Mus musculus: one gene and its partners. The protein of the gene in region 5 interacts with the protein of the main gene of each other region in a pairwise test. Links are inferred from orthologs where the notes say so. Each region holds a gene or a part of one and is shown on either strand. Other genes may lie near its edges.

Region 1 (3,500 bases), on a different chromosome or scaffold from region 5:
CCCTAGCCCCCAGGCTGCTCTTTATTTATTGTTTACTTAATATTCCAACCACTGATACTAGTTTGCAACTCTCTTTGTTTGGCCCTACCTTACTAATGAATTCTTTCTCTGTCCTGATACTTATTATTTTTTCCAGCCTTGATTTGGGCTTAGGTTGTCGTCACTCTTCTGATATCTTCAGGTACAGCATTGTTACTTATTGAGATCTTATCAAATTCTTTTTTTTTATAAATTTAACTGAATTTAATTATTTTAATTTTTGTTTAATTAATTAACAATTGGGCATTACATTTCTTCTTTAAATTAAAGTTCAGGTAGCACTGGCATCAAGAGTCGGTCTCTAGGAGTGGATCATACTTATTTTGTTGAGCTCCTGGGCAGTGAGTAAATGCTAGGAAACAAAGCAGGGGTTCCAGGGCAGGGTTGACACTGAGTGCTTCCTGTGTTTCAGACACTTTTCTCTGCTTGTGTCCTAGCCCCTCCTGTCACAGTGATGCTCTGAAGCAGGTTCTGTCACTGCCTGCAGTGTGTGCATCAGGAAACTGAGGCAGTGAGGTTAAATCATCTGCCCAGGGCCCCATGGATAGGAAAGGGCAAGCCTTGGCTCTCTGGGGTACTGCAGTGTTCAGCCATCCTCGTGACATGGAGGTTTGGTTTTGAACTGCCCTTTTCTTGAGAGCAGTCTGCACTCTGCAGTATAGCTGAGTATTGGAAATTTGATACAGAGGATTTCTCTGTCTGATCTGTTAATGCTTAGTAACTGAGATTATGCAGATAGAGATTTTTCTTTCACAGTATATTGCCTAGTGTCCCAAGCACAGTAGGGACTGGTAGAACCTACTTGGGTTGCAGGTGGCAGCATATAACTGTGGGCCCTGCCCTTGCTAGTGTCTGTGGTCCACGCTTGTTACTGGGCATGACTTCACATTGCCGAGGTGTGGTGACTGGTCCTGACAGTTGCTTTTCTCTGAGTTACAAAAAGGCATGGGTTTGGGTGGGGTTTAGCTCTGTGTGTTTACTGTGGACTAGTTGAGTCCAGTCCCACCAAACACACATATCCCTTCCCTACAGAATTTTTAAAAAATATTTGTTTATTTATCAAATGTAAGTACACTGTAGCTGTCTTCAGACACTCCAGAAGACAACATCAGATTTCGTTAAGGATGGTCGTGATCCACCATGTGGTTGCTGGGATTTGAACTCAGGACCTTTAGAAGAGCAGTCAGCACTCTTAACCGCTGAGCCATCTCATCAGCCCCTCCCTACAGAATTTTAATTGCACTGTTTTCTCCATGGGTTTGCCATAAAAGTACCTACATCAAAATTTAGGCCATTGTGTGGATTAAACAAATAACACAAACAGTTTGGATCTATAGGTAATTTTGCCATTATAAGAATAGAAATGAGCTGGGCATGGTGGTGCATGCCTTTGATCCCAGACAGAGGCAGGTGGATTTCTGAGTTCGAGGTCAGCCTGTCTACAAACTAAGTTCCAGGACAGCCAGGGCTATACAGAAAACCCTGTCTCAAAAAAACAAGGAAGGAAGGAAGGAAGGAAGGAAGGAAGGAAGGAAGGAAGGAAGGAAGGAAGGAAGGAAGGAAGGAAAGAGAGAGAGAAAGAAAGAAAGAAGTGGAAAATGCTTTTTTAAAATTTTATTCCTAGCATGTTTTTGTATGATGTGGGTGTGTGCCCGTGAGCTTACATCTTCAGGCTTGAGCAATCTCTTCAGCTCTTTGCATTTTATGTAGATTCATTTTTATTTCATGTGTCCGGTGTTTTGCCTGAATGTATGTGTATTAGTCAGGGTTCTCTAGAGTCACAGTACTTATGGATAGTCTCTATATAGTAAAGGAATTTATTGATGACTTACAGTCTGCAGCCCAATTCCCAACAATGGTTCAGTAGTAGCTGTGAATGGTAGTCTAAGGATCTAGCAGTTGCTCAGTCCCACATGGCAAGCAGGTGAAGGAGCAAGAGCGAGACTCCCTTCTTCCAATGTCCTTATATGGTCTCTAGCAGAAGGTGTAGCCCAGATAAAAGGTGTGTCCCACCACACCTTTAATCCCAGATGACCTTGAACTACCTGTCTTAATCTTCTGGAATCCATAGCCACTATGCCTCAAGATCTCCATAACAACTAAGATCCAGGTCAGAAACTTCTATCTCCCAGCCTCCAGAGAAGGGTCACTGGTGAGCCTTCCAATTCTGGATTGTAGTTCATTCCAAATATAGTCAAGTTGACAACCAGGAATAGCCACTACAGTATGTATGTAAGTGCACTACATTTATGCCTGTACCCAGAGCCCAAAGAGGACACCAGATCCCTTGAAACTAAAATTTTAGAGATTGTGACCATGCAAGTGCTGGGAACTGAACCTGGGTCCTCTGCAAAAACAGAACGTGCAAATGTCTACTGAGCCATCACTGCAGCCCTAATTTTTAAGTTTAGGAAGTTGTCGTATGGTCATTGTATATTGTCCTAGGTTTCATAAGCACATTCATATAAATGTCGATGATACACTCTGAGCACATTCCATCTCCTGTTCTCTCCCTTTCCCCTTTCTCATGCTGTTGGGATTTTAAAATTAGTTTTTGTTTAGATTAGATGTTGATCTCTTCAGGAGCTATTCCTTCATGGAGGCTGCTTTTTCTTTCTGCGCCACATGGTAGCTTCCCACCTTCCTGTGTCTAGGCAGTCGGAACTGTTGCATCTTGTTCACTGTCAGCCACTGCCTCTGCCTCTCCAATTCTGAAATTGCAGGCATGAGCCACCATCAGTCTAATAGTTAATTCTTTTTTGTTATGCCTTGGGCGACAGGGGCGGGAGGTTGAGACATGGTCTCTCTACATAGCCCTGCTTGCTCTCTGGGAACTCACTATGTAAAAACTAAGGTGGTCTCTAACTCTCAGACGTGCCTCTGTTTCATGAGTGCTGAACATAAAGGTTTGTGCCACCATGTTCAGCCTGGCTAATAACTAGTCTTGGATACTGGTTCCTAAAATTGTGTTGTGTATCATTCTGTTATTTGTGCCTGAAAAATGCATATTCTGAGCCAGGCATGGTGGCCTTTAGTTCCTTCCAGCATTCAGGAGGCGGAGAAAGGCAGATCACAGTGAGTTCAGGACCAGCCTGGTCTACATAGAGAGTTCCAGTACAGCTACACTCAGGTTACACACAGAGACCCTGTTCTGTCTTAACAAACAGACAAGTCCACCAAAAAGGCCATATTCTGAAAATAATGAAAACAGAAAACCTATTCAAAGTATTTTCATTGCCATCACATACTACTTGGCTTATACTTAATGGGAAATTATTTCTTATATTTAGTTACAGCCAAGCTCTACATCTGAATCTATGGATCAACTACTAAGCAAAAATAGAGAAGGAGAAAAGTCACGAGATTTGATTAAAGATAAAACGGAAGCAAGTGCTAAGGATAGTTTCATTGACAGCAGCAGCAGCAGCAGCAACTGTACCAGTGGCAGCAGCAAGACCAAC
Region 2 (3,500 bases), on a different chromosome or scaffold from region 5:
AATTTTACTGGAGAACCCAGAAGAACTTTCTCATGTTAGAGCAGACTTTTAAAATTAACAATTAAAGATCAGACTTTTTCCACATTAAAATGAACACTTGTACTAATTAAAATAAATCTTAAATACTGTGTAAAGATAAGTTATATTATAAATGGATAACTATATCTGCATTACGGCTCACAAAAACTTAAGAGCAAAAATGAAGCAGTCTCAGAAATCAACAAAGCGGGGCACATGGTGAAACGGCATGTCACAAGAAGAAACAAACAGGGCAAATGAAAGAGATGTTTTGCCTAGTTGGAAATTAAGAAGCACAAACCAAGACCACAGTAATCCCATACCCACGTAATAACTAGGAGGGAACAGGGACTATTCCGTATGGACAGGGGCAGAGCAAACATGAACTGCCGTGGCATGCTGACTATTGACTTGGACAATTTCAAACATACTATGGCACTTTTGTGTGAAGCATAAATGTGTGGACCCAACCCAGCAATTCTACTTTCACACGTATCCATGATGGAGACATCCCCGCTCACGTGTAACTAGAGTACATACAGCGATGTTCACGTGTAGGACTCTTTGGGAGTTTCACTGAGTTCTCAGGCTAGGTAGTGAGCTCAGTTCGTGACTACTATGAACTAAGTAAGGATTCTGATGATTTCAACTATGTATGTGTCAGCCACTCCCTCTCATACTCTAAAAGACACAAAGCACTTGAAACTCTCTGCTTTGTGGTCAAAAGTACGAGTTCTGTGGGTCAGTGTGGGTAGGTGTACTGTGTGAACTCACTTCCACAAAATTTCCTGCGTACACTTCTTCCAGAGTGACTTCTAGATCTACGATGATATCACTTCCTCTTGGAATATTCCTGTCCTGCTGACGAGGGGTTCCTCCAAACATGAAGCCAAAGTCTCCAAAGAAGCTGTGGATACAGGCAAACTCATCAGGAGAAAGGACTCGGATCCTAAGTCTCACAACTGTTGATTTTCTTCCCCTTGATAAAATATTGTTCCTGCCAGCACACTATGCAAAACAGATATTCTTAATATACTGGGTCCAAATACAATACAAATTTTAATTTACATAATTTAATTTACAGGTTGCTGCCCCACCCCCAAATTACTGTTTAATACAATATGTCCCATACATAACAGCCAGACACTAATGCACAGTATATCAAAGGATTCAATGTTGGACTCAATCAATGGAATAATCCATTCAAATACTGAGGAAAATCCAGATATTATAGACATAATGAAAGGGGGTATAATATATTTAATCTGGTGCAATTCAGACTTTTTGGTTAATGTAAGGAATTTCTTTTTTTTGTTTGTTTGTCAAGACAGGGCTCCTCTATGTATCCCTAGCTAACCTGGAACTTGCTCGAATGACCACTCTGGACCCAACCTCAGAGATCTACCTGCCTCTGCCTAGGAGTAAAGGTTTGTACACTATGCCCAGGCTAACTTAGGAAATTCCTGAAGGTCAATCCTGAACATCTTGAATGGACTGCGTGTGCTCACTAAGTCTGCTCTTTAGAGATCACTAACCTTGATGAAGAAGCTACCGCTCTACAAAAACCTTGGGCACCTGTTTAAAGTTGGAAAGCAAAACCTTGGGGCAGTCCCCGTCCTTAGGGAACAGTAAGTCCTGGCCTGCACAAGGTCAAATGTTTGAAGGAAACAGAAGAATGACTGTGAGATGGATAAAGACGTGTTTTTCAGTTGTACCGGAGCCTGCTGCTGAGGAGAGGGCGGAGCAGGACAGAGCGCTCCTCTTTCTGACATCTCCAGCATCATTTTGATGGGCAGGGGAGAGGCTCTTCCCTGACAGCTCAACAGACAGAGCTATTGTTTATAACTGCACTCTTACTGGAGGGGAGGCTCTAGAAGCCTTTTGAGAATCTGAAGAAATGGACGTTCATGGCATACAAGTGCAGACTCACACATTTTCCTGTTTATAACTACAGAGCTGAACTCTGGAGTAGATCTCCCAGTTAAGACATTATGATGCATGGAGAGTCAAATGTCTAACAAGGAGGGGTTGGGTCAAAGTGAGGAGAAGTTCTTATTAGCATTGCAGCTACCCCGAATTCCCAGTGAGCCAAGAGTGACAGGAGATGAAGAGACCCTATGAACTCCTTTTCTGATGGTGCCTGTCATAGCCACCCCTCTCCTGTCCACAGGATGACAGAGAGGCAACTCTGCCCTCTGTCTCCAAGAGCAATTCAGTTAGTGCCCAGGGGTCCCGTCCCAGGATATAATACTCCGCAAATGGGCAAATTACTTACTGTGAAAAAATGTCCCCATGAGAGCTCTGATGGCCATCTTTCAAGCCTTCTTCACCGTAAGTATCGTACTGTTTTCGTTTTTCACTATCTGACAGAACCTGGGGATGAATGCCAGTGAAGAAAATGTCATGCTCTAAGTCAGTTAAAGGACATTCACGTTCACAGCTGTTTTCCACTCTGACCCTGAGTTTCTAAAGCTTCGCAGAGAGTGTGATTTTCATTGTGTGTGGTATTAAGGTTTGTTTAAAGTTGTTATTTTTGTTTGTTTCTTGGGGATTTTTGAGCTAAGGCCTTGCTATATGACTCAGGCTTGCCTAGACTTCCAAATGTAGCCTAGGCTGGCCTCAAACTCATGTTCTTGCCCTAGCCTCCTGAGAAGGAGTCTGGACATGTGCACACATCTGGGAGGCTGTTAGAGCAGACTGGATTCTTTGGGGTACTGCCTACTGCATGCTGCCCAACTTATCCTTTCAAGTTGTCAAATCCGATTGAGTGCTTTAAAAACCGCATTTAAGCATGGGACTGTGAAGGTCAAGAAGGTAGCAGGAAAGAAGGGAGACTGACTGCTCAAGTTGGTTTTCTGGGTAATTTAATTCCAGGGCTTATTCTGTAAGCTCTGTGCAGTACTATGTCACTAAACTATAAACTAGAATATACCCATGAAAGACCATCACTAGTAACAAATGCACTAAATTACTGTCTTAAAAACAGTTGCCTCTCTCCGGCTCCTGCACAACACACTGTACAGAGACGTCTGGCACGCCAAAACAACAGGATCATGGCCCTGAAGAAAAATCCAGAGCTGTTCCCACAGCTGTGTTTTCACACTGTTTGTTTGTTTTTTCCCATGCTTTCGTATGTGTAGAAATCCATTTGTAGGAGAATGCTGTCTGCCTTGACGTGTCTAACTTTGTGATGTCTTGAGTTCAAACTGTTGAAAAGAATATCAATAAACACTACTCTATAAATGTACCTTCAAGTCAATTTTACTGCCTGAAAGAACTTTGCGTAATGTTTGTATGATCCAAAGAGCATAAGAAAAAAATTAATTTCTAAGCATGTAAAAATTTGCCTTCAATGTGCAAGAAGAAAAAATGTATATAGGGGACCAATAAAAATTAAGTATAAAATATTTATGTAGGAAACTCCCACAATGAAATCCACACTTTCTGTTAAGTTTAAAACTTAATTTTAAAAAGGGCTCAGG
Region 3 (4,204 bases), about 6.0 Mb from region 5:
GATTCTCAAGGTGCAGACCTCAGAGGCCTAAAGGACCTCAGATGGCCTCTGCCTACAGGTAGAGCTTGGGGCCTATTCACATCCTTTAGTACAACTCAGTCATCCTCCTGCCTCTGCCTCTAGTGTGCTGGGATTGCAGTTGTAAGCCACCAAAAGCTATCGTTAATAGATGGCAATATCACATTCTTTTACGGCAGAGCTAATCCAGGTTCAGAATGTGTGTCCAAAGGCACAGGGCTCACAAGCGGGGTTTGAATTCAGACCCTTTTGGTCTAGTATTGATCATTCTCTCGTCTTCTCACCTTGAGGGGCATGACCAGAGGACTCCATTAAAATCAGCTGGAAAAGCTTTTTTATTAAATATAGACTGAGCTCCATGTTATGGGGAGAGTCTTTAATCCCAGCACTCCACCAGAGGCACGTGATCCTTATGAGTTCCAGGCCACTGGGCCAGCCTGTCTATATAGTACTGGTAGCTGGGGCCATTTTGTAAGCTTGTCTCTCTGTCTCTGTCTCTCTTTCACACACACACAGAGACAGAGAGAGAGATCTATATAGATATAGAAATATAGATTGGCTCATTTCCCCAGACAAACTGAGCCGAAAAACAAGTTTGGTGCCCTTCCCCAGACGGTAGCTCACAGGGGCCAGAGGAAGGAAGGGAAGACACCAATGGACTCGGCTAAGGCTGGATAGTCCCCAGTTTTTCATAGCTGAAGATAAGACCAGGAACCCAAGAGGGGCACGATCTCCACCTTGTCTCTCAAGGGCCACGCCTCCCTAATAGTCCGCTAGCACACCCTGCTAAAATCACTTGTATCTGGCCATCAGGCATATTTTAATTCCCTTTAAGCCGCGGTGGGGGTGGCAGAAGCCCGTGGTGCCACCCGCGCCTAGCCGGCCTTGCAGTCCTCACTGATGCCGGTAGGGGGCGCTGTGCACTCAGGAAATGGCGCTCGGTAGGCGGCGCGTAGGCCGAGCAAGGAGTGGTGAGTCAGTTTCCTGCCCGGCGCTGCCCGCCCGCCAAAACTGCTTGGGCACCGGAGCTGCGCGTCACCCTGGGGTGGAGAGAGGAGAGGAAAGGAGGGGGACCCCGGGCCACAAAACACGTCACGATGAGCCCAGGCTTCCTAAATTCCCGCCTATGTTGGGAAACCAGACTGAGCGCGCGCGCGCGCACGCATACACACACACACACACACGCACGTACACAGACACACACACACACACACATACGCACGCACGCACACACGCACGCACGGACACTCGAGAGCAAAGAAAGTGCTCTTAGCTCTGGCCCCCTCCACCTTGATCTCCACGCCCAAAGCACGCGATGAGTCAGATCCCTGGAAAATAAAAATAGATGAGGGCGAGGACAACAAAAAACCGCCTGAGTGTCCTCTCTGAAACGCGACGTAGGGGACAGAGGAAGCTGCCAGCGCGCCCCCAAATGCCAAACCCAAGCCCAAAGTATTTCCCGCACGACCAGGGTGCAAGTGTAGCCCTTGTCCCCGGAGGTTCCGAGTGGAATGGATGTGCCCTAGTGGGCGCACTCAGCCTGGTCACCTTCCTACACTGGGTGTGGACTGGGTCGAGGGCCCCAGCCCCGGGGCGTCTGATGTACGGCACCCGTAAGCCTCACTCCGCGAGGATACCGGCCGCTCTACAGTGCGGGCTCCTCTCGCGCCCCACGGTCACTGGTCCGGGTCGTGGTGGGCGCGGTGGGTGGGACCCTTTGCGCTTCCCGGGCTGGCAGGGTGGACAGGACCCGCCCAGACTCCCTGTCCCCGAGGGCGCGCCGCCGAGCGGGGACCGGACACCGCGTCCTGGACCTCCCCGTGTCCCGGGTTCCCTGGGAACATACTGTGCCCGCCAAATAGGTCACTGTGCCGCGCGGGGGAGGGGACGGGGCAGGAACGAGGCTGTACCCGGGCAGGGAAAGGGGCTTCTGGGCTGCCACTGACCCATCCCCAGTTGTGGCGCGATTCTGGTCTCAATCCAGTGCCCGGGGTCTCCTTGTCACAATGAGTCACCTCCTCGCCTGTCCTCTAGGACGTGCCCAGGCACGATCCCGAGGGCGGAGGACACAGCTCGCGCTGACCTCAGAGCCCAGTGGGGTGGTGGCTACCGCGAAACAGGGCACTTGGTTCACAAGGACCGGGGATCCGGCGGCACCCATGGGATCGGAGAACCGCTCTGCGCTAAGCTCTAGATAGACTCGCCGAAGCTTGTCACAACCGCCACCCAGGACCCATCTCGGGGCACCGTGAGCTTCATTCTCACGCTTTGGGCGAGCCGCACCTGGAATCCCTAGAAACATTGGCAACCAGAAGCGAGCTCCCGGTAGCCGATCCCCGCCAGCCATCGCTCGGACCCGGTCTCCAAGGACTGGAAGAGTGGCTGCCATCCGTGGTCCTGGAGTTCAGACTCTGTATGCCGAGTCCGCGACATAGCCTGACCCTCGTCACACTCCAACAAACGAAGCCTTCAGCCACCACGGACGCTCAGACCCACACCCGTCATCCACCTGCCGCGGACACACCTGTGACTCTGGCGGGCACGCACAAATACACATATACACACACAGGTGATCCACTCATCACCACACACACACACACACACACACACACACACTTCTGGGGACACCCACTGGGCTCAGCGCATTGCTACGGGGAAGAACTATTGTTCCCTGCCACGAAGCTCTCACCTCTGAATGTCTGGATATCGCTGTGGATCTGCGCCTGACTCCAATTCCCCTAGACTCTGACACCGCGGCGGCTCACACCTCTCGGCTGCTGCAGTTGGCGTCGAGCTGCCTCCTTATAGCGTCGGCCCAGGCCCCGCCCCCTCAGAGGCAGGACCAACCCACTCCTTCACCGATCCCGGGGACTCGCTGGCCCGCCCTCCCCTCTGGGAATCTAAGCCCGCGCCAGACAGCTAGAACCGGCGCGCGTTAAGAGGGCGCGCCCTCCCCTCCCCCACACCTGGGCTATTCTCTTGTCACGCAGCGCACCAGCAGAGCCACATACATCTATGAACAACAGTACAGTTAGAGCTGAGTGAGTGTTTATGGGTCTGTCCCTGACCAACTGTGGGAAGGACTAACTCTTTTCCAGATCACTGATATTAGTAAATAAAATCCTGGGTTTCGGGAGGTGGGTCTGTTGGTACAGTGTTTGCCTAACTTGCTGGAAGTGAAGCCCTGGGTTGGAGCTCCAGGGCCCCATAAACTGGGCATGCGGGGTCACGTCTGTAATAACAGCGCCCAGTGGGGGGTGAGGAGGGGGAAATAGGCATTCAAGGTCGTTTTGACAGCTACCTATTCCGATGGAGACCAACTTGAAATATGTGACACTGTTTCAAATATAAATAAATTGATCATTTGAGTATGATAGCAAAAGCCTGGAATCCTATACTTGGGAGATTGAGGCACGAGGGGCGTTACAGGTTCAAGACCAGCCTGGGCTATCCATTGAGACCCTCTCAAAAACAAAACAAGCCCATAAATAATAAAAAATAGTTTAAAATCCCAAGAAGTCCCACTATGTCTGGAGATTTTTTTCCCCCTCCTCCCAGAAGCCCCTCGGACATCGGGTCCAGAACGCGATCATTTCCTCCCTGTCTCACAGACGAGGAAAGCAGTTCCACAGAAGGAAAGGATGCTGTCAACCGCCTCAGAAATCGGGGAGATTGAGTCCAGTTCTCAGACCACGGACTACCAAGAAAAACAGCCGCCAGGCTCCTTACCTCCCCTCTCCCCTCTTCAGAAGCCAGCATGTGAACATTTCTCACACCATAATACATCCTGCAAGTGAGAGCATCAAGACCTGACTGGGACCACACTAATGGCTACCTGCTGACCTCTGGCAAGCTGCCCAGAGTACTCTGCTTGCAGATTTCTTTCTCTGGGTCCAAAATGAGGGAAATGTCTAATACTCCCCCTCCCAAGATCCAGACAGTCCACTAAAATGACATTGATAAAGGACAATTCTAGAAACATCTACGGATGTTCCTGACAGACATAGCAGTAAGACATTCTCCGTTCCCACCTTCCTCCATGTCTCTAGTCAGTTTTATTTCCTTCTGTTTGGGGTCTTTTGAGACGAGGCCTCGCTATGTAGCCCAGGGTGGCCCTCATATTCAAGGCAATCTTCCTGCCTTAACTTCCTTGCTTAGAGTTAAGACTACAGGTCTGAGCCATCAC
Region 4 (4,297 bases), on a different chromosome or scaffold from region 5:
TGTATCTGCCGAGCCCCAAGGAGATCAGAGGACTACAACAGACCCCTGGAATGGAGTTAAAGAAGAATGTGAACTGATATCTAGGTTCTGGGAACTGAACCTGGGTCCTCTGTAAGAACAGCTCTGCCATCAATCCAGCCCAGCTGTTCAGTTTTGAGAAATTAAAACACAATACCTGTGGCGCAAGGAGATTCTGCTTCTGAGATGGGTCAGGCACCAGCCATGTGGCTATAGGATCTGGGTGCAGGCTGTAAAGCTATTTCAAAAAAAAAAAAAAAAGTATGCATTTGCTATTATTAAAAAAAGAAACACAGAGCTCTGTAAGCCATAACCTTAACATGAACAACGAGTGCTTATCTTTAGGAGTATATTCTTAAAGGCTTTTTAAATATTTTCTTCTGCTCCTACATCGCTGAAATTCTAGAAAACTGACTTTTGAGCTTTTCGGCTACATCCTAAATCCCATTTGATGACTTATACTGTTACTTCTTTTTAAAATGCATCCTTGTATTTAAAAATATTTCTCTTGTGACATTTTAAAGTACTAGTTATGGTCTCTCTTTCCTGTATGGAAATGTTAATTCTCCCATCTTGTTATTGTAGTTGAGCACCCATGTTCTCCAGACTGTTGGAAGACAGGCAGCCCCACCACCAGCTCACACATTCTGTGCACAAGTGCTTCCCTGACTGTCTTCGCTGAGCAATGAAACTGCAATGACGCTCTACACTTGGACCTGAACTCTGTGTGCCTTTTTGTCCAAGCACAGGGTCTGTGTTACACCAGCATATTCTTACCTATGTGGAGGCACAGGTATGCCAATGCTGCTGGTCTTATGTTGAAACATGTAAAGGTACTGGTTTGGTTTTCATTCTCATTTAGGAAAATGTGATCTAAAGTCAGCTAATAGATCCAAACAGCACAAATGGACTTTTCTTTTCAAGATGGACTTGGATGGTATTGTAAATATCATAGTCATATGATCAGCTCCAGCTGACATCTGAGTGACCTTCTAAAGTCAGCCTGCAGGATTTTCCAAGCATGCTGACTCAGGAAAGAACCAGTCACTCAAGGTCCTGTGACCTGCTTTATGTAAGTAGCAATTGTCTAGAACATGCTTTTATTATATTAAAAATCTAATTATAAGAGAATCTGTTTATTAAAAACAATGGCCGATTTGGTACTGTCTCTGTCTAAAATACATAGTAAGTACTTTGAAATACTCAGGTCTAATTATATAGATGAATAAAATGGCAACAAAAAATTGCTGTTCCTAGCAACCTTTGCGACGCTGGCGAACATTCTTCAGTTAAATGATCAACCCGGAGGTGCTTACCTTCTCCTCTGAGCTGCCAGAATCAGTCACTTTCACCTTTAAAACAGAAAAGTGACAAGGAAATGCGTGTGAGTGTGCTAAAGCTAAAATTCATTTGTTTTCAAGAATTCTCTCTAAGATTCAGCTGTACTCACCGGGAGGGAGGAGGCAATGCCAAACAGGCAAAAGCAAATCACTGCCAATCTCATGGTCGTAGTTAGTCCTGCAACATATTTTATGAGGCACAGTTGATGTCTTGTCAGGTTCAAACACACTCTTGGCACCACTAGATCACCACCAAGTCACCAATAATTTATGGAATCTTTCTACATCTCAGAGAAAATTTCAGTGAGTCAATATTTGTGTGCCTTTTCTACCTCTCCACCTCTCATCCTTAGCAAGGAAAAGGGCAATTTCACAACTCTATTCATCCAAACTTTACGTCTGGAGTCTCAGAGCTTATGCCCCCACTATCTGATGTCTCTAGAGCTCCACACCAAGATTTGTTTCACAGTAATCGAGTAATTAAAGCAACGAACTACCATGAGAGTACTTTCTGCAAGGAAGAAAAAGAGAAAATAGAATGATAAAAGAAAATTGCTTTTTCCATTTGCATTTCAAATGTGATTTTAACTTACATTATACAAAGCTGAAAGAAACAAAGATATCTTTGAATTTGAGTAAGATGTTCTATTTGGACTAATAATAATAATAATAACAACAACAATAATAATAATAATAAAAATAAAACACTGAGAGCAGGCAACAGCTTTTCTGTGCATGTTGATGAGTCTGTGTTATCACACAGGGACCTTAGTGAAAACTGTAAAAGCCAAGTGCAGAAGCGAGAAATTAAGGAAGGTTCTCTTTTGAAGTGAGACAGTTTTCTAAAAATAACTGTATCTGGTTTATATTAATATAGAGGATCCTCCTTTACTGGTCTCCACAGTCATCCAGCCACTTTAAAATGATGCAGACATTTGTTCCAAAGATACATAGAACTTTACAATGTGTGTGTGACAGGAGAGAGAGGGAGAGAGGGAGAGAGGGAGAGAGAGAGAGAGGAGGGAGAGAGAGAGGAAGAGAGAGGAGGGAGAGAGAGAGGAGGGAGAGAGGGAGAGAGAGGAAGAGAGAGAGGGAGAGAAAGAGAGAAAGAGAGAGAGAGATTACTAGCAGATCTCTCTCTCTCCTTTAGAGGACCAACTAGATTTATTTTAACTTCTACATCCAACTGGCTTTGAAAATACCGGGAAACCTGCAATGTACCTGACCAGCTTATTCAAAAAGACCAGAACAGCACGAGTCTGACTAACAAATACGACTGTTGAAAGAATGTTCTCTGGACTCACCCTCAGAATTCAGCCAGGAGAACTGCAGCCTCATGGGCCACTGCAGGCTTACCTTGGCTGGTTTCCTCCGAGAATGCCTGCCGCAGAAGACTGCAAACCCAAGCAAGGATGCTTCTTCAGTGTGAGCTGCTGGTGGCTCAGACCTCCCAGAATTTAAATGCTGGTCCAGACAGTCTCCACCAATCAGGAGGTGGAGTGATGTGTCATGAGGTTTTTGCCACTACCCGGCCCACCTGCTCCTACACTTCCTCCTCTGGTTTTGTGGTTAAAAAAAAAAAAAAGGAAGAAAAGGAAACACACACAAAGCATTACTGATGAACGATGTCATTAACTACCCTTTTCATTTATAGACTGCATTTAGAATCCCGGAAGAGCATCAGGGATCCATAAGGAAAGGAAGAGTAGATCACCCTCACAGAGACTTTGTTTATAGTTACTGAATTAGTAGAAAAACATCAATGGGGATGAAAGGTATGGATTCTCCTATCTAAGTTACAGATAAAGGCCACATGGATACACAATTTGATTCTCTCAGACTTACTTAAATCTAGAAAACTGCTGTCTCGGCAGAACTTTCAGACCCTCCCTTTTGCCTTTGTATTCGGTAGCTTAGGTTGGCCGGGCCACAGTGGCTCTGTTTTGTACTCCGGAAGATCACCATGAATTTGAGGCTAGCCTCGGCTCCATACTGTGTTCCAGGTCAGTTGGGGCAACAGAAAGTGAGACCCTCTCACAAAAGAAACAAAACCTCACAACAAAACGAAACAAAGTAACAACTCAGTTTTGACACTTGAGCTATGCAGCCGCTTGCTCTTTGTGCAAACCACACAGTGACCCTGAATTCCTCTCCTGCCTCCACTGACCTTTAGAGACGTGAACCTCGTGAACCTTGTTGCTCTGTTGGAGCAGCTGGGAGTGATGGTTCTGATGCTATCTAAACTATAATGGCCATATAGAGCAGAAGAGGTGGTTACTCCAGATAGAGCCCGCCTAAGCAAGCAGTTTGTGAGACTGGAATGCTTGCTGGGTGGGGAAGCTGCAGGAGCCAGACTGCCTTTCAGTCCTTCTGTAAGCAGTGCCAGGTGTGACCTTGGGCAAGTCACTTAGTCTATCTACAGGACAATGGATTAGTGTAAGTGCAGTTGATAGCACTTCACATTTTGCAATGCTCCTTCCCCCACATGTTAAAGAACGTGTATATTTTAACTATTACAGAAATCTTCAGCAGAGGCAAGGAGCTGAAATTTGTAATGCCTTTGAATTGATCTTTAAGCTGTACACGTTAAAGGGTTCTCTGAATATTTTTTTAAAGACACAGCTTATATTTCTGAATTATCTTTTTTGAGTTTTATTTCCTGGAATATATAAGGTTGGCTACTTAAAAAGATTTTAAAATTTGTATTAACAAAACGTTACTGAATAGTTAAGAGGTATTCAAATGAGATAAAATTATAGGTGAAGCAGACTTCTTTAAATATTTAATACTGCCCTGCAGTTACTTCCTTTCTTTTCCCGAAATGGAGAACACAGGCTTATTACCTTACATCTCCAATGTAAGAGGCATGCAGAAATTGAGATTAAAGTTAAGTCAAACCTTTGTTGTATTAGATATTAGTGCTACTTGCCAAACCCTGC
Region 5 (4,121 bases):
ATGCCAACATCAAAATCAGACAGTCTCACTAGCCAACTATATCAACAGGCCGATATTTATTATGTCCATAAATAAATAAATAAATAAATAAATAAATAAAAGAGTGTGGCTAGAGAAATGGCTCGGTGATTAAGAGCTCATACTGGTCTTGCAGAGGACTCCAGTTCAATTTCCAACATCCACGTTGGGCAGCAGCTCACAACTACTGGTAAACACAGCTTTAGGAGACTCAGTGTCTCTGGCTTCTATGAGCGTTTGTACCCAGAGGCAGAGACACATACCAATACATAATTAAAAATAAGTGGGACGTGGTGTGTATGCCTCCAGCATTTGAGAGGCAGAAGCAGGTGGATCTCTTGTGAGTTTGAGGCCTGCCTGCTTTACGTAGTGAGTTCTAAAATAGTCAGACCAATGTACAGAGATTAAATTAATTTAAAAAAAAATCCAAATCACAACAACAGTAAATAACTAAAACCTATACGAAAGAAGCCGAATAGCTCTCCCTTTCTCCCTCTCTGCTATCCAGTATCTAGAGATACCAGTGATCCTTTTCTAAACTAAAACAATAGCAGGTGTTCAAGGCCATAATCTCAAAGCTGAATGCAGATAGACAGGCACTGGCACAGCCACTAATCTCAAGGATACAGAGCTAGGTGGATCTGACTACCAGGACAGCCATGACTGCAAAGTGAAACCCTGACTTAAAACACAAAATGAAGCAAGCAGGGCGTGGTGGCGCACGCCTTTAATCCCAGCACTCCGGAGGCAGAGGCAGGCGGATTTCTGAGTTCGAGGTTGTTACAACCATCTGTAACAAAGTAGGGGCTATAGTTTGGGGCTATAGTTTCCTAACTTCCACATGAAGAAAAGGCCACAGGTTGCAGAGTCTGACCTTCTCAGGCACCAAGTGCACACAAGGTGCACATGTGTATTTCCAGAGAAAGCACTCACATATAAAATAAAAACAAATACAATCTTCTAAAAGAAACCAAAAATACACACAACCCAAAACAACCATTACCACCATGGGGTTGGGAGGCAGGGTCTGGAAAGATAACTAACAAAGGTCAGAAAGGAACACACAATATACGGTTCAGTAGTAAGTGCTCTGTGCTAGGTCCAAGGTTCAGTACCCATCAGAACCACATACATGCAATAAATAAATAAATAAAAATAAGGGAAGGTGGAAAAAAAGAACAAACAAACCAAAAATAGCAATAGCATACAACTGAAATTCCAAGCTTGGAAAGCAGAGACAGGAGGATCATGAGTACAAGACCATCAGTTCTAAGACATTTCACTATGTAAGAAAAAAAGGACCAAGCCAAGTCAGATGTGGTCCTCTGTTATAGTGCATATAATCCTAGCACATAGACGACCACATAGACGACGAAGGCACAGTGGTCAGAGGCCAAAGTTAGCCTGGGCTATAGGAGATCCTGTGCCCACCTCCCGGAAAGACATTAAGTAATTCTTGGTAGGGCCAAATTAACTATCACATGTACCTACAGACAAAAGTCTATGTGGCTTTTTAAATATCTGCTTTAAAAACCACAAAAATGACCTCCTCATGGTGGTTGTCTCAAAGAATTATGCAGTGGCCACAGTGCACTAAGGTCAGGAGGCTCAAACCATGCCTCAGCTATTGACAAGTCTACTTCACAGTGGATGAAAGCAGGTTTCCTTAATCTTATAAAAATAGTACCAAGCTGTGAACACTCTGTTTAAAAAAAAAAAAAAAAAACCCACACCAAACTTGTCTGAGGTCCCTGTGACACACCATTCTTGTCCAAGGTGCCCCCTGTGTTGTGTCTGGTCCCAAAGGCCAGAGTCATGTCTGTCTCTTTGGGCTGGGGTCTGCACAGAACAGGTATAGATCCCTCCTCTCTACTTTCCTCTTCACTGAGTTCTGTCAAAGTGAAGACAGACTCCAAATCGGCCTCACTCAACAGTAACCACATCCCCTCACTCAATAGGTACATCAGATGTCCTATCCAGTAAGGGACAAAAGAGTCAATGACAAGAAAATCAGGCGCATCCTTCTACAAAGTACTGGTGTCTCACCTGGGCCCCCACAATAAAAGTCCGAGTCTGAGAGTCCAGGGTCTTCACCAGTACCTCCAGGCTGTCAGGCTCCTCCATAGCGGTACTGGCACTATCACTCGGCTCCATGGCCGACAGCTCTCTAAAGAAGAACGAGGGGGGGGGGTTCGCTGTCGGTCGCACTGTATTTTATACACCCGGAAGCCTCTCTGGACCCAATCTCCGCCCCAATCCCTTCAAAGTTTCTCATACACAAGCAGATATATTCATCCTCCTTCTCATCCCCCCTTTTTGATTCGGGGGCACAGGAACAGAAACACAAAGGGTAGGAGATCGACGGCATAGGGAGATGAAGGACGAGAGGTGGGAGGGGCTCCACCATGCCAATCACAATAGGGAGAGCCAGTTGGGCTAGGAATCAGGGAAGCAAGCACGAGACCGACCAGAGGCCAGTGTCATCACCGGTCGCGACCGAGCAAGCGCCCGAGAGATCGGGAAATCCTAGGACAACGCGAGGGGTGGGGGGAGGGTCGCGCTAGACTCGGCAGAGAAAAGTGGCTTCGCGCACGCGCAGCACCACAATCGAACCCGCCTAAATCACCACCGACCCAAGACCGCGGACACTCACGGGAGGCTGGACGGGCTCGCTGACCGCCCCCGCCTTCCGCCTCCGCCTCTCCTCGGTATTCCAGCAACACGACTTAACCAACACGCGACCAAACACATACAAACACACATACACAGCCCACCACCCTGTGGCTCCGCCCCCGACGTCCCCACGGTACCGTCACTTCCGGTCTCCCCCAACCTGGCACCAAGGGCCACTTCCGTTTCCCCGATCGTATTTGGGGGGATCTCGAGGCGGTACTTCCGGCTCCCCCAGTCTCCCCCGATTTACTTTCGTGGGGCACGATGAGAAAGTCCACAGCCCCGAACAGTGAGTTTCTGGGGGGCGAGACGGGCCCGGGCCGGCCGAGATGGGAGGGAGCCGACCACCCGGAGGAGCCGCCGCCGCCGCCGTCGTCGCCCGGGGGACCGCACTGCGCCTGCGTGAGCGGCGCCACGCGTGCGCACACTCTAAGTACTTCCCCGCCCCCCTCCGGCTATGTGCGTTTCTTCCCTGCGCGCGCCAGAGTGCAACCGGACCGGGGTGGCTACTGGAAACGCCTAAAGAAAAATGACTGAGTGAGATGCTGTAATTTCCTCGAGAAAAATTGTGAGACTTGTGTGGAGTGCACCTCGTTAATCAACGTCCCATCTTGATGGTCAGAGACGTTTACAGGCACAATTCTAACTACCTAAAACTCTGCAAGACCTCTGGTCCTCCCATCATTTCTGTTCTTCCGGAAGCCACTCTTTTTCGTGGACGGCTGGTGGCGTTCCGCGGGCTGTGTTTGCTTGTGCCCGACTCTAGTTCCTGGCGGGATTAGGCCGGTTGGGCTCTTTGCAGACTTTGAGCATCCTGTTTATTGAGATCTCCGAGGGAGTGCCATGTTTAAGGATAAAAAAAAATTCTATTGCATTTTTTGGTTTTGAGACATTTCTGCTGCTTTTTAAGAGCTTTGTAGAAAAAAAGAAAGAAAAGAGAACGGGTGCCTTGCGGATCAGATTAAAGGACAAGACTTTAAGAAGGGACCAAGGGAATGGAGAGATGGCTCAAGAGATGAAGAGCACTGTCTGCTCTTCCAGAGGTCCTGAGTTCAATTCCCAGCAACTACATGGTGGCTCACAACCATCCGTAATGAGATCTGACACCCTCTTCTGGTGTGTCTGAAGACAGCGACAGTGTACTCACATACATAAAATAAATAAATCTTTAAAAAAGGAAAAGAAAAGCCGGGCGTGGTGGTGCACACCTTTAATCCCAGCACTTGGGAGGCAGAGGCAGGCGGATTTCTGAGTTCGAGGCCAGCCTGGTCTACAAAGTGAGTTCAAGGACAGCCAGGGCTACACAGAGAAACCCTGTCTCAAAAACAAACAAATAAAATAAAATAAATAAAATAAAATAAAATAAAATAGAAAAGAAAAGAAGGAAGAAAAAGAAAGGGGATTGAAAGGCCCACCGCCAAGGGAGTTGA
Region 6 (4,085 bases), on a different chromosome or scaffold from region 5:
AGCAAGTGGGTGTGCAGAAAGATCACTGCACTGCAGATGGAAGATTGGGAGCTTTTTACCTCATTGCTCCAAAGAACGAGCTGAAATGAGTTTAAATAAGCAGACACATAGAGAGATATTTTTACTGTCTGGTAACAGAGAATCTGTTTTTTCAAAGAAAAGCGGTTTGGGGACATTGGTGACAAGTAGGGTCAGGGAAACTTAGTAGTAAATGTCTTTGCTACAGTCATCAACGCCTTCCATACTTAGTAAGTTCTGCAGATCTGATCCTGTGCAGTACTGGATAGCCTGTCACCAGTACTGGTCAGGATCACCATTGGATGTCAATATCTACTTAACCCACCCACCCAGAAGACAGAAGAGCCGTAATCACCTGAAAGCTGCTCTCCAGCAGTCTCTACCAACTTGCCACTTCCACAGCCTCTGCAATATGCCCCTGGACAGGGCAGTCCTTAGCTCCTCCAAGTTAGCAGGTTCTGTTACTTCTCAAATTGCATTTGGTGACTTCGTTCTTAAAAGGCATATCTGAAACCAAAGGGAAGTAACTGCCTAACTGTGGGGTGGGAGAAGCTATCAGGAATAGCTGCAATTTGTGTGGTATGACTTGATAAAGGGGGGTGGGGCGGGACTCTCTCTTCAGATTCCTGAAATTCCACCATTATTATGAAAGACGCAAGAAAAATGCCTAATTTAATTTGGATGGGCAGTAATCAGGAGAAATGAGAAACTGTAGATAAGGAAGGAAGGAGAGGAGTTCACACACACGGACACACACACACACACACACACACACACACACGGGGTTGGGGGTGGAGGCAAGACACACACCTCAGGATGGCACATATTTTGTTAACATGAGTTCCATTTGGCTCACTCCTAACACCTAGCACCTAGTAGGCCCAGAAATGAACACGTTCATTCTCACCTTTCACCATTTGAGGAAGCTGACAAAACACACCCCCTCCAAAAATAAAAATCTGAAATGAAAAATAAAGGACCAGTTCTGTTAATAGCTTTAATTTATTCTCCCAGGAATCACTTGTTGAGCTAAAAGGAATTTAAGCCATTTCTGCAAAGTCTAAAAGCTCCATGGAAGTGATATTTCGATATTAGTTGTGTCTCAAATTCCTGTGAATCAGGGTACCAAGGGGCCTAATGCAGAGGATAACTGGGCCCCTAGACCCCAACGCCAAAAGGCGCGCCTTCCCGCGTGGTTGGAAGCCTGGGCAGGGCGCTTGCGCCTCCCTCTCTCTCCTCCGCCCCCCTTCGCCCTACTTCTCCTCCCTTTTTCCTCCTCCTGTGGCTGCTGCTGCAGCCAGACCTCGCCAGTTCAGACCTACCAGGCTGCCCTCCCCTACGCACTCCTTCGCTGCCCGGGCAGGAAAGTTGCGCGGCCCCCCCGCAGGTAGGAGCCCAAAGCCGAGGTCGCAAGATCTGCGCTATACCAGCGAGAGCTATACCGGGAAGTATGGTAGGGCGACCCAAGAACTGTCCCCGACTGTGAAACTGTACAGAGAAGATGGAGGTGGACTTGCTGGTCTGGGATCACAATCTGTCAGCCTGTGCCAGTACTTGGGTGACATTTGTTGGGATAGGTAGAGTAAGCGCGCTATCAACCCAGAGAGTTTTGCTGGTGACTCTGGTCTCTAGGTTCCGTGACTGAGGTATGGGATTTGAAAGGCACCTGGATTGCCCAGCGGTTGGTTGGAAGCTAAAGCGCTCAAGGACTCCCGCTGACAGACGCCTTACATCTAAGAAAGCTGAGCTCACTTCCCTGCAGGCATCAGGCTAGGAACCCCCTCCCCCAAACTGGTTCCCTGTGCTGCAAAGCTGTCTGAAGTCCTCCTACCTTAGGCAGCCTAGACCCTGTGCATAGCACATTTTGAGACCTGAGAACGAGGGGAAAAGGGATCAGTGACTTTGAGCTGCTGATTGTGCGCCAAGAGTGTGTATGGAAATGGAGCTTTAAGAGTGGGAACTAGAGAAGTCACCCTGCAGTGAGTTAGAAGCTCTGTGGGGTATTCTATCGGGAACTGTGAGATCGATAGCTCTTCGAGTTTTGTTTGGGTATTTTAGACTTTTTTTTTTTAAGACAATAAAGTCTGCGGGCATATAACTGATACTGGTTTGCAGGTATCTTTCGCTGAGCTGGGTGGAACTTCAGGTACAGCTGAGCCGTGGGTGGGTACTCTACAGTTTCAGAAAATAGACAGATGCTGCGCCCCCGTTTCCACCTCCAAGGGGGAAGAGGGATGGAATCGATCATATTCTATATCCCCTTTTGACTACCGTTTTCTGGAGCTTTATGAGTAGGTGTGGTATAAACACACGCTGAACAACCTTGGTACAGGATGGATGCAGTGAAGTAATGCATTTCTACTGTAGTTTCTCCTGTCTTGCTTATTTGGGTGGCTGGTGAGAAAGCAGACTGGAAGGAGGGTATTTGGAGCTCTCCATTCTCCTTTTCTTGTCAGTTTCTTCACTGATAAAGTTTTGATTTTCTAGGCAGTTGATACTAAACATCTCTTTGTCCCATTTCCCGTAGAGAATCACGATGTTGCAAACACTTTTCCTAACTATGCTGACTCTGGCGCTGGTCAAGTCACAGTACACCGAGGAAACCATCACATACACGGTAAGGCATGATGACATTTGAGATACAAGAATTGAGTAGTAGTCTGGGATACAAGAATTAACTGGTCTCTGCCAGGACAAGTGGGCAGTATTCTGCGAAGCAAAATAAATTAAACAACACTTTAATATGACTCAGGTTTAGGACTCCTGGTAAATCGTGCTGGGTCTTTTCAAAGGTGCATCTAGATCACCTGCGATGAATGGTTTGTAAGCTAGATGCAAAATAAAATGATTTGTGCAAAGCCAAAAATGAACTCTTTTAAAATTCAAATCTGTGTAAGCTCCATATTTCGAAGACATGCAATGAATTGATGGGTTTGAGGACTCTGGGAGCCTGGGTATGTGCAGATGCAATCAATATATGCAGAATAACACGCAAAGCAAATAAGAATGTATGGTGTAATTACACTAGCTCATCTGTGCCTGTCCTCGTGAAGTTCTCATTCTTGGATTCAGAAAGGCTGTCTATTCATGTAAAAGTACTGCAGATAGTTTAACTGTCACCAGCAGACAGTATTTGCCAACGTGGATTTAAAGCACACTGTGTGCATCTTGGTCTTGCAACTTCTATTTGCATCTCTGGCATTTCTTAGTCATATTTGGCCAGTTAGTTGCGTCAGTATAACCAATGTTTAATAAAATATTTAAAATATCATCTAATCCCTCCCACAGCCCTAAATAGACATGTCAGGAGAGGGCAGAGCAGGCTCATGTGGCTGGGATGAGGCCTTTGTTCTGTGTTGTTTTCTAACTCTCATTCAGTGTTCTGAGATGAATGACATTTGTCCTGGGTGAGTATATGAAAAACACATTTTCATACTTCTTTCCAATTCTTAAAATTAAGTAATCCTATTCAAAAGAGTATAAATGTTTTTAAAGTAAAACTCAGAAGTGAGCTAATATCAATTACTAATAATAAACATTATCTCACTTTTGCATCATGTTATCCCTAGAACAGTATTACCCGTCCTGCAGATGTTCCCTTCTGCTGCTCAGAACAACTGTAAATAAAATTATTGAGTAAAAGTATTGTGTTATTTTAACATTAAAACAAATAGAGGAAAATGAAAGTATGTGCTGTTTATCTTCAAATGAGGATGTTTTGTTATTCAGGTTAAACTTACTGCCCTCTCAGTGAGTTAGGATTAAATCGTCTACTTGTATATTCAGTAAAAGAGTTTACTCCTTTTCTGAGAAGTTGTCCTGGAACTCATTATGTAGCCCATTCTGGCCTTGAATGCATCATCATCTGTCTTAGTTTTCTAGGCAGATATTATCACTTGAATTGCTTATCTCATGCCTCCTCCATTTCCCCATCACCTACAACTTATTTGTTTTCAGTAGAAAGTATCCATTGTGGTTTAAGCCCTTCAATTTTAGAATTGTAATGAAGGCCTTCCAGATATGATGCCCATTTTGTGCTAAGAGATGACAGATTAAGCCTATTCTTT
Region 7 (3,956 bases), on a different chromosome or scaffold from region 5:
TGAATTACATGTTAACTGTTCTGTAGCCTCTTGTAAAGTAGTGCAGTAGTTTTCTGAGGGAAGTTGAGAAACAGCTACTTAAGAAAGGTTTCCTAATTAATGTCTTTCCACAAGAATAAATAAAATGCAATGTTAAATTATATTTTGAATCAGTTCCATGATATTAAAAACCAGTTCATGGAAATACACAAACAGTTCAGAGAAAAAAAAACACAGACATATAGGGAATTTTATTTCTGTATAAGCCTCAATTTCTTAATAAAGTATTTTTGCTACATATTTAAGGAAAAATAATTATAAGTGAATAAAATGCACACATTATAATTATCTCTTTGGTTATAATTTGGTACTGTCTGTGTTTATTTTCACTTCTTGAAGTTCTGTGAGCTGAGCTGCTCCCTGATATCCACAAACTAAAGTGATTGAATCAACAGAGAGTTACAGGCAAGATGCTCACCTGCTGGGGTTCCCCGCATCCTTAAAGTCTTCAGGATCTGCTGTTGTGCTTTTCCTTTTGCACCTAGTTGGACCATTCCAAGAAGCATAGTGGTTCCAAGAGGGGAAAATATAATGTTGTTCTTGTGGGATAAAGAAATAGCTTTATAAAGATCCACTGCAAAGTCAGCAATTTTTTGGTCAGTCGCTCTTGAAGTTTGACTTCCAGAAAAAAATAGTAGAAAACTCCACAATATGGTCTTATTCATCTTGCGTTCTGTATACTAATTTAAAACATATCAGTTTTTAAAACAGACTTTAACATAGTAAGCTTAGCAGTATAGCTCTCATCTACTTGACTATTATGCATATATATATATATATATATGCATACACACACACATACACACACACACATACACACACAGCAAGTATTCTATATGAAATACTACCACAGGGAAACTCTATTTAGTGGCATCTTGCTGAATAAGTATTATATAATAAGAGAAGCCCACATGCTACTGGTACTAAGATCCTTCAAAATCTAGCAGAATCTATACCTTAATGTTCCTAAAAGCAATGGTAAAGCTCTACTCTCAGCTCATGGTCAGACAAGAACTTGACTAACTTGTTTTATGATTCTTTCTTTTCTTTTGACTTGTTTATTGGCACAGCTATGACTCTGACTCAAGGGAAACTTGTGTTCTGGTTACTTCAGAAGGTTTATAGGCCACAAGCAGTCGAACAGTCAAGTCAGTGCAGTCTAAGTCAGTGGGCAGCCTGGTTACCCCAAAATAGCCCTTCTATACTCTCTGAATCTAAGAGCAAAATGTCCCAACTCTCATTATATGATCTTCTATAGGAAGATAAATGAAGAGAGAAAGGAAAATGATAGTCAAATATACATGGTAAAATAATAACAAAGAATGAAATTGTCAAATGCTTTGATGAAACAATTAACAACTTTTGGGAAAACAGCAATAGAAATCCATAACCATTTACCAGGGATGCCCAGTTATCAATTGGTCACTAAGGCAATTACAAGAAAGTCACCTATCCGATTAGACCTTCAGTGAAAACAATTTTGAATGTTTCATAGAATAGTAATGTTTAGTTCTCATAAATTTCAGTAATACTAATTCTACTGTATAATAATAACCATCAATTGGCTGCTAGGAAGTGACCTTTCAATTGAAACAAAACTTGAAGCCTTTAGAATAGTGATGTTAGCCTTGAAGACCTGAAATATTGCTTTGCTATAGTTATATGGTAAGAGTTACTAAGAAGCTTTAGTAAAAGATGAAGAATAATCAAATAGCCTTGAAAAGTAACCTATAAGATATTATTTTGATATTTCAGATTTTTAATTTAAGTAGAAAAACTCTATTTGAATAAGCAGATTATTTTTAAAAAGGAAATAAATCTCAAAATATAATACAAAATACCTAATAGAAAATAATACGTTGATAAGACATGAATAAGGATGTAAATTGTTGTGTAGATGCTTTTTAAGGATTAAATCAATATACTAGGTTATAAAAGTACAAAAGTAAAGAGCATTTTGTGAGAGAAGGTTTACACATAAATGTTTGTCTATATATCATACTCTGATACATATACATACATTAACATATATATAATAGATAGATGATAGATAGATGATAGATAGATAGATAGATAGATAGATAGATAGATAGATAGATAGATTGGTTTTGAACATTTTAAGAATATATATATATATACACTTTTATGAATTTATATGCATATATATTCAATTTCTCAAAATAATCCTGACCCATGTATAGCTATGTAAGTTATTACAATGTTACCAGTGTTTTTCAAACAAGTTGGAATTTATTATATATATTTATGTAATTGGCCAACAATGGGATGACAAATATTTTGGGAATTACATAGCTCTCCCTGAAAATAGAGTCTTGGTCTTACAGTAATACTGATACTGTTTCTTCTCATAATTATAATGTACATCTGTAAGCAGTGATTTCTACCATAAATTGTCCAGGCACTTAATAAGTTATAGCATCAAGCAAATAACTGGTTTTAAGCTTTACTTACTCATTTCGTTTTGAATAATATCTTACCAGAAAGTGAAAAGAACTGAGAGATAGACAACACGATGTATAGTTCTGTAAGAATTCGACCTTTCTTCAATAAGCAATTTTAAGAGACTGAAAGTAATGTTTTATTTTGAAACAAGAAACATCAAATTATTCTTACACAAAACTTAACCAATGTGCCAGTTCTGTGTTTCAATAGACACAATAAATGTTACTAAATATCTATTTTTACTTTTATGGAACTTACCCAAAATTAACTTCTGATTATTAACTTGAATGCTGTGATTGAAATGTGCTTACTGGAAAACCCTCTTATATGAAGCAGCTTATTGGTGAAGGCCAACTATATTTATCTTAAACGCTGAATGATTAATTATTCCACAACCATAGCAGGTGTGCACTGTGCTGCCATGTGATCAAGTTAATGATAAATGATGAAATGTAAGTGAAAAGAAAAACAGTAAGACAAATTGTTAAGAATTATTATTATTATTATTTCATCTATTGTTTCATTTCCTTTAAAAGTATAAATGACTGGAAATATGGCAAATGTAACTAATGTGCTGGATTCTAATCGGACTTGAAGTCAGATTAAAATTCAACCCATCATAAATGCTTCAAAGTGCTTAGGAGGAGAAGAACAACTGAATCTAAGACACTTTACAACTGCCACAATTCATTAGCTTGTACTTTGCAAACATCAGAGACATTTCCTGAGTCCCATTCTAATAATTGGAAAAAGAGTAGATGTTGAATGTATATATATATATATATATATGTGTGTGTGTGTGTGTGTGTGTGTGTGTGTGTGTGTGTGTGTATCTATGTATATATTACAAGAGAACCAGAGTTAGATTATTGATTTACCAAATTATATGTGTAAAAGAAAACACTATTAATCCCAGGTAACATGGAAGTTACACTGAGGTAACTTACATGCAATTTTAACATTCCACATAACTTTCTCTACAAACCACCCATCAATAAAAAGTAGATGCATAATTCAATGGGTTTTATCTCATTGTAGTAGTTCAATTCAATCATCTCACTGGCAGGAAGGTATTAAACACATATATCATCCATATGGCCTCTGAGAAATGGAAAATTTAGTGTAGTTTCATTGAAGCAAACGTGACTATTGATCACCAAATTTAATAGTATTTCTGTTAACCTCATGAGAAGGAAATAAAATTATTCATATGCACCTTAAAATGAGTTCCTTAAAGGAATACATCCTCTAAAATATTTATCTCAGACTTGAACCTTATTAATATTTTCTGTGGCATGGCCCAGTGACAGACCTAAATTATTAGGACAAGGAGAAGTGAACATCTCCTAACTAGCATAGTTTTACTTGTTTTAGCATTATAGATTAAATCTAGATTGCATTTCACACTAACAAATACCTCCCCCACTGACCTATGTCTTAGTCCATCAACCAGG

Evidence for each region.
Region 1: the proteins of Bag6 (region 5) and Atxn2 interact in binary tests that used the Homo sapiens proteins (3 or more experiments, as listed by UniProt). The link is inferred for Mus musculus from reciprocal best matches to the Homo sapiens genes BAG6 and ATXN2.
Region 2: the proteins of Bag6 (region 5) and Dnajb11 interact in a two-hybrid assay, tested with the Homo sapiens proteins (2 studies listed by BioGRID and IntAct). The link is inferred for Mus musculus from reciprocal best matches to the Homo sapiens genes BAG6 and DNAJB11.
Region 3: the proteins of Bag6 (region 5) and Cdkn1a interact in a two-hybrid assay, tested with the Homo sapiens proteins (2 studies listed by BioGRID and IntAct). The link is inferred for Mus musculus from reciprocal best matches to the Homo sapiens genes BAG6 and CDKN1A.
Region 4: the proteins of Bag6 (region 5) and Spp1 interact in binary tests that used the Homo sapiens proteins (3 or more experiments, as listed by UniProt). The link is inferred for Mus musculus from reciprocal best matches to the Homo sapiens genes BAG6 and SPP1.
Region 6: the proteins of Bag6 (region 5) and Efemp1 interact in binary tests that used the Homo sapiens proteins (3 or more experiments, as listed by UniProt). The two-hybrid records come from large-scale screens. The link is inferred for Mus musculus from reciprocal best matches to the Homo sapiens genes BAG6 and EFEMP1.
Region 7: the proteins of Bag6 (region 5) and Serpini2 interact in a two-hybrid assay, tested with the Homo sapiens proteins (2 studies listed by BioGRID and IntAct). The two-hybrid records come from large-scale screens. The link is inferred for Mus musculus from reciprocal best matches to the Homo sapiens genes BAG6 and SERPINI2.

The regions. Positions count from the first base shown.
Region 1 is NC_000071.6:121,791,609-121,795,108, forward strand, and holds part of Atxn2 (ataxin-2), read left to right. Parts: intron 1-3,329; coding exon 3,330-3,500. UniProt on the Homo sapiens protein: Involved in EGFR trafficking, acting as negative regulator of endocytic EGFR internalization at the plasma membrane.
Region 2 is NC_000082.6:22,864,345-22,867,844, reverse strand, and holds part of Dnajb11 (dnaJ homolog subfamily B member 11 precursor), read right to left. Parts: intron 2,392-3,500; coding exon 2,294-2,391; intron 926-2,293; coding exon 793-925; intron 1-792. UniProt on the Homo sapiens protein: As a co-chaperone for HSPA5 it is required for proper folding, trafficking or degradation of proteins.
Region 3 is NC_000083.6:29,092,365-29,096,568, reverse strand, and holds the start of Cdkn1a (cyclin-dependent kinase inhibitor 1), read right to left. Parts: upstream 2,801-4,204; 5' UTR 2,708-2,800; intron 1-2,707. UniProt on the Homo sapiens protein: Plays an important role in controlling cell cycle progression and DNA damage-induced G2 arrest. Involved in p53/TP53 mediated inhibition of cellular proliferation in response to DNA damage.
Region 4 is NC_000071.6:104,433,614-104,437,910, reverse strand, and holds the start of Spp1 (osteopontin isoform 4 precursor), read right to left. Parts: upstream 2,801-4,297; 5' UTR 2,715-2,800; exon of another isoform or gene 2,697-2,714; coding exon of another isoform or gene 2,663-2,696; intron 1,720-2,662; exon of another isoform or gene 1,537-1,719; coding exon of another isoform or gene 1,523-1,536; coding exon 1,469-1,522; intron 1,371-1,468; coding exon 1,335-1,370; intron 1,011-1,334; coding exon of another isoform or gene 1,008-1,010; intron 257-1,007; coding exon 176-256; intron 1-175. UniProt on the Homo sapiens protein: Major non-collagenous bone protein that binds tightly to hydroxyapatite. Appears to form an integral part of the mineralized matrix. Probably important to cell-matrix interaction.
Region 5 is NC_000083.6:35,134,179-35,138,299, reverse strand, and holds the start of Bag6 (large proline-rich protein BAG6), read right to left. Parts: upstream 2,801-4,121; 5' UTR 2,782-2,800; coding exon of another isoform or gene 2,672-2,781; intron 2,653-2,671; exon of another isoform or gene 2,296-2,652; intron 2,186-2,295; coding exon of another isoform or gene 2,173-2,185; coding exon 2,065-2,172; intron 1-2,064. UniProt on the Homo sapiens protein: ATP-independent molecular chaperone preventing the aggregation of misfolded and hydrophobic patches-containing proteins.
Region 6 is NC_000077.6:28,851,920-28,856,004, forward strand, and holds the start of Efemp1 (EGF-containing fibulin-like extracellular matrix protein 1 precursor), read left to right. Parts: upstream 1-1,285; 5' UTR 1,286-1,405; intron 1,406-1,894; exon of another isoform or gene 1,895-1,997; intron 1,998-2,545; 5' UTR 2,546-2,554; coding exon 2,555-2,635; intron 2,636-4,085. UniProt on the Homo sapiens protein: Binds EGFR, the EGF receptor, inducing EGFR autophosphorylation and the activation of downstream signaling pathways. May play a role in cell adhesion and migration. May function as a negative regulator of chondrocyte differentiation.
Region 7 is NC_000069.6:75,267,279-75,271,234, forward strand, and holds the start of Serpini2 (serpin I2 precursor), read right to left. Parts: upstream 2,801-3,956; 5' UTR 2,761-2,800; intron 720-2,760; 5' UTR 705-719; coding exon 458-704; intron 1-457.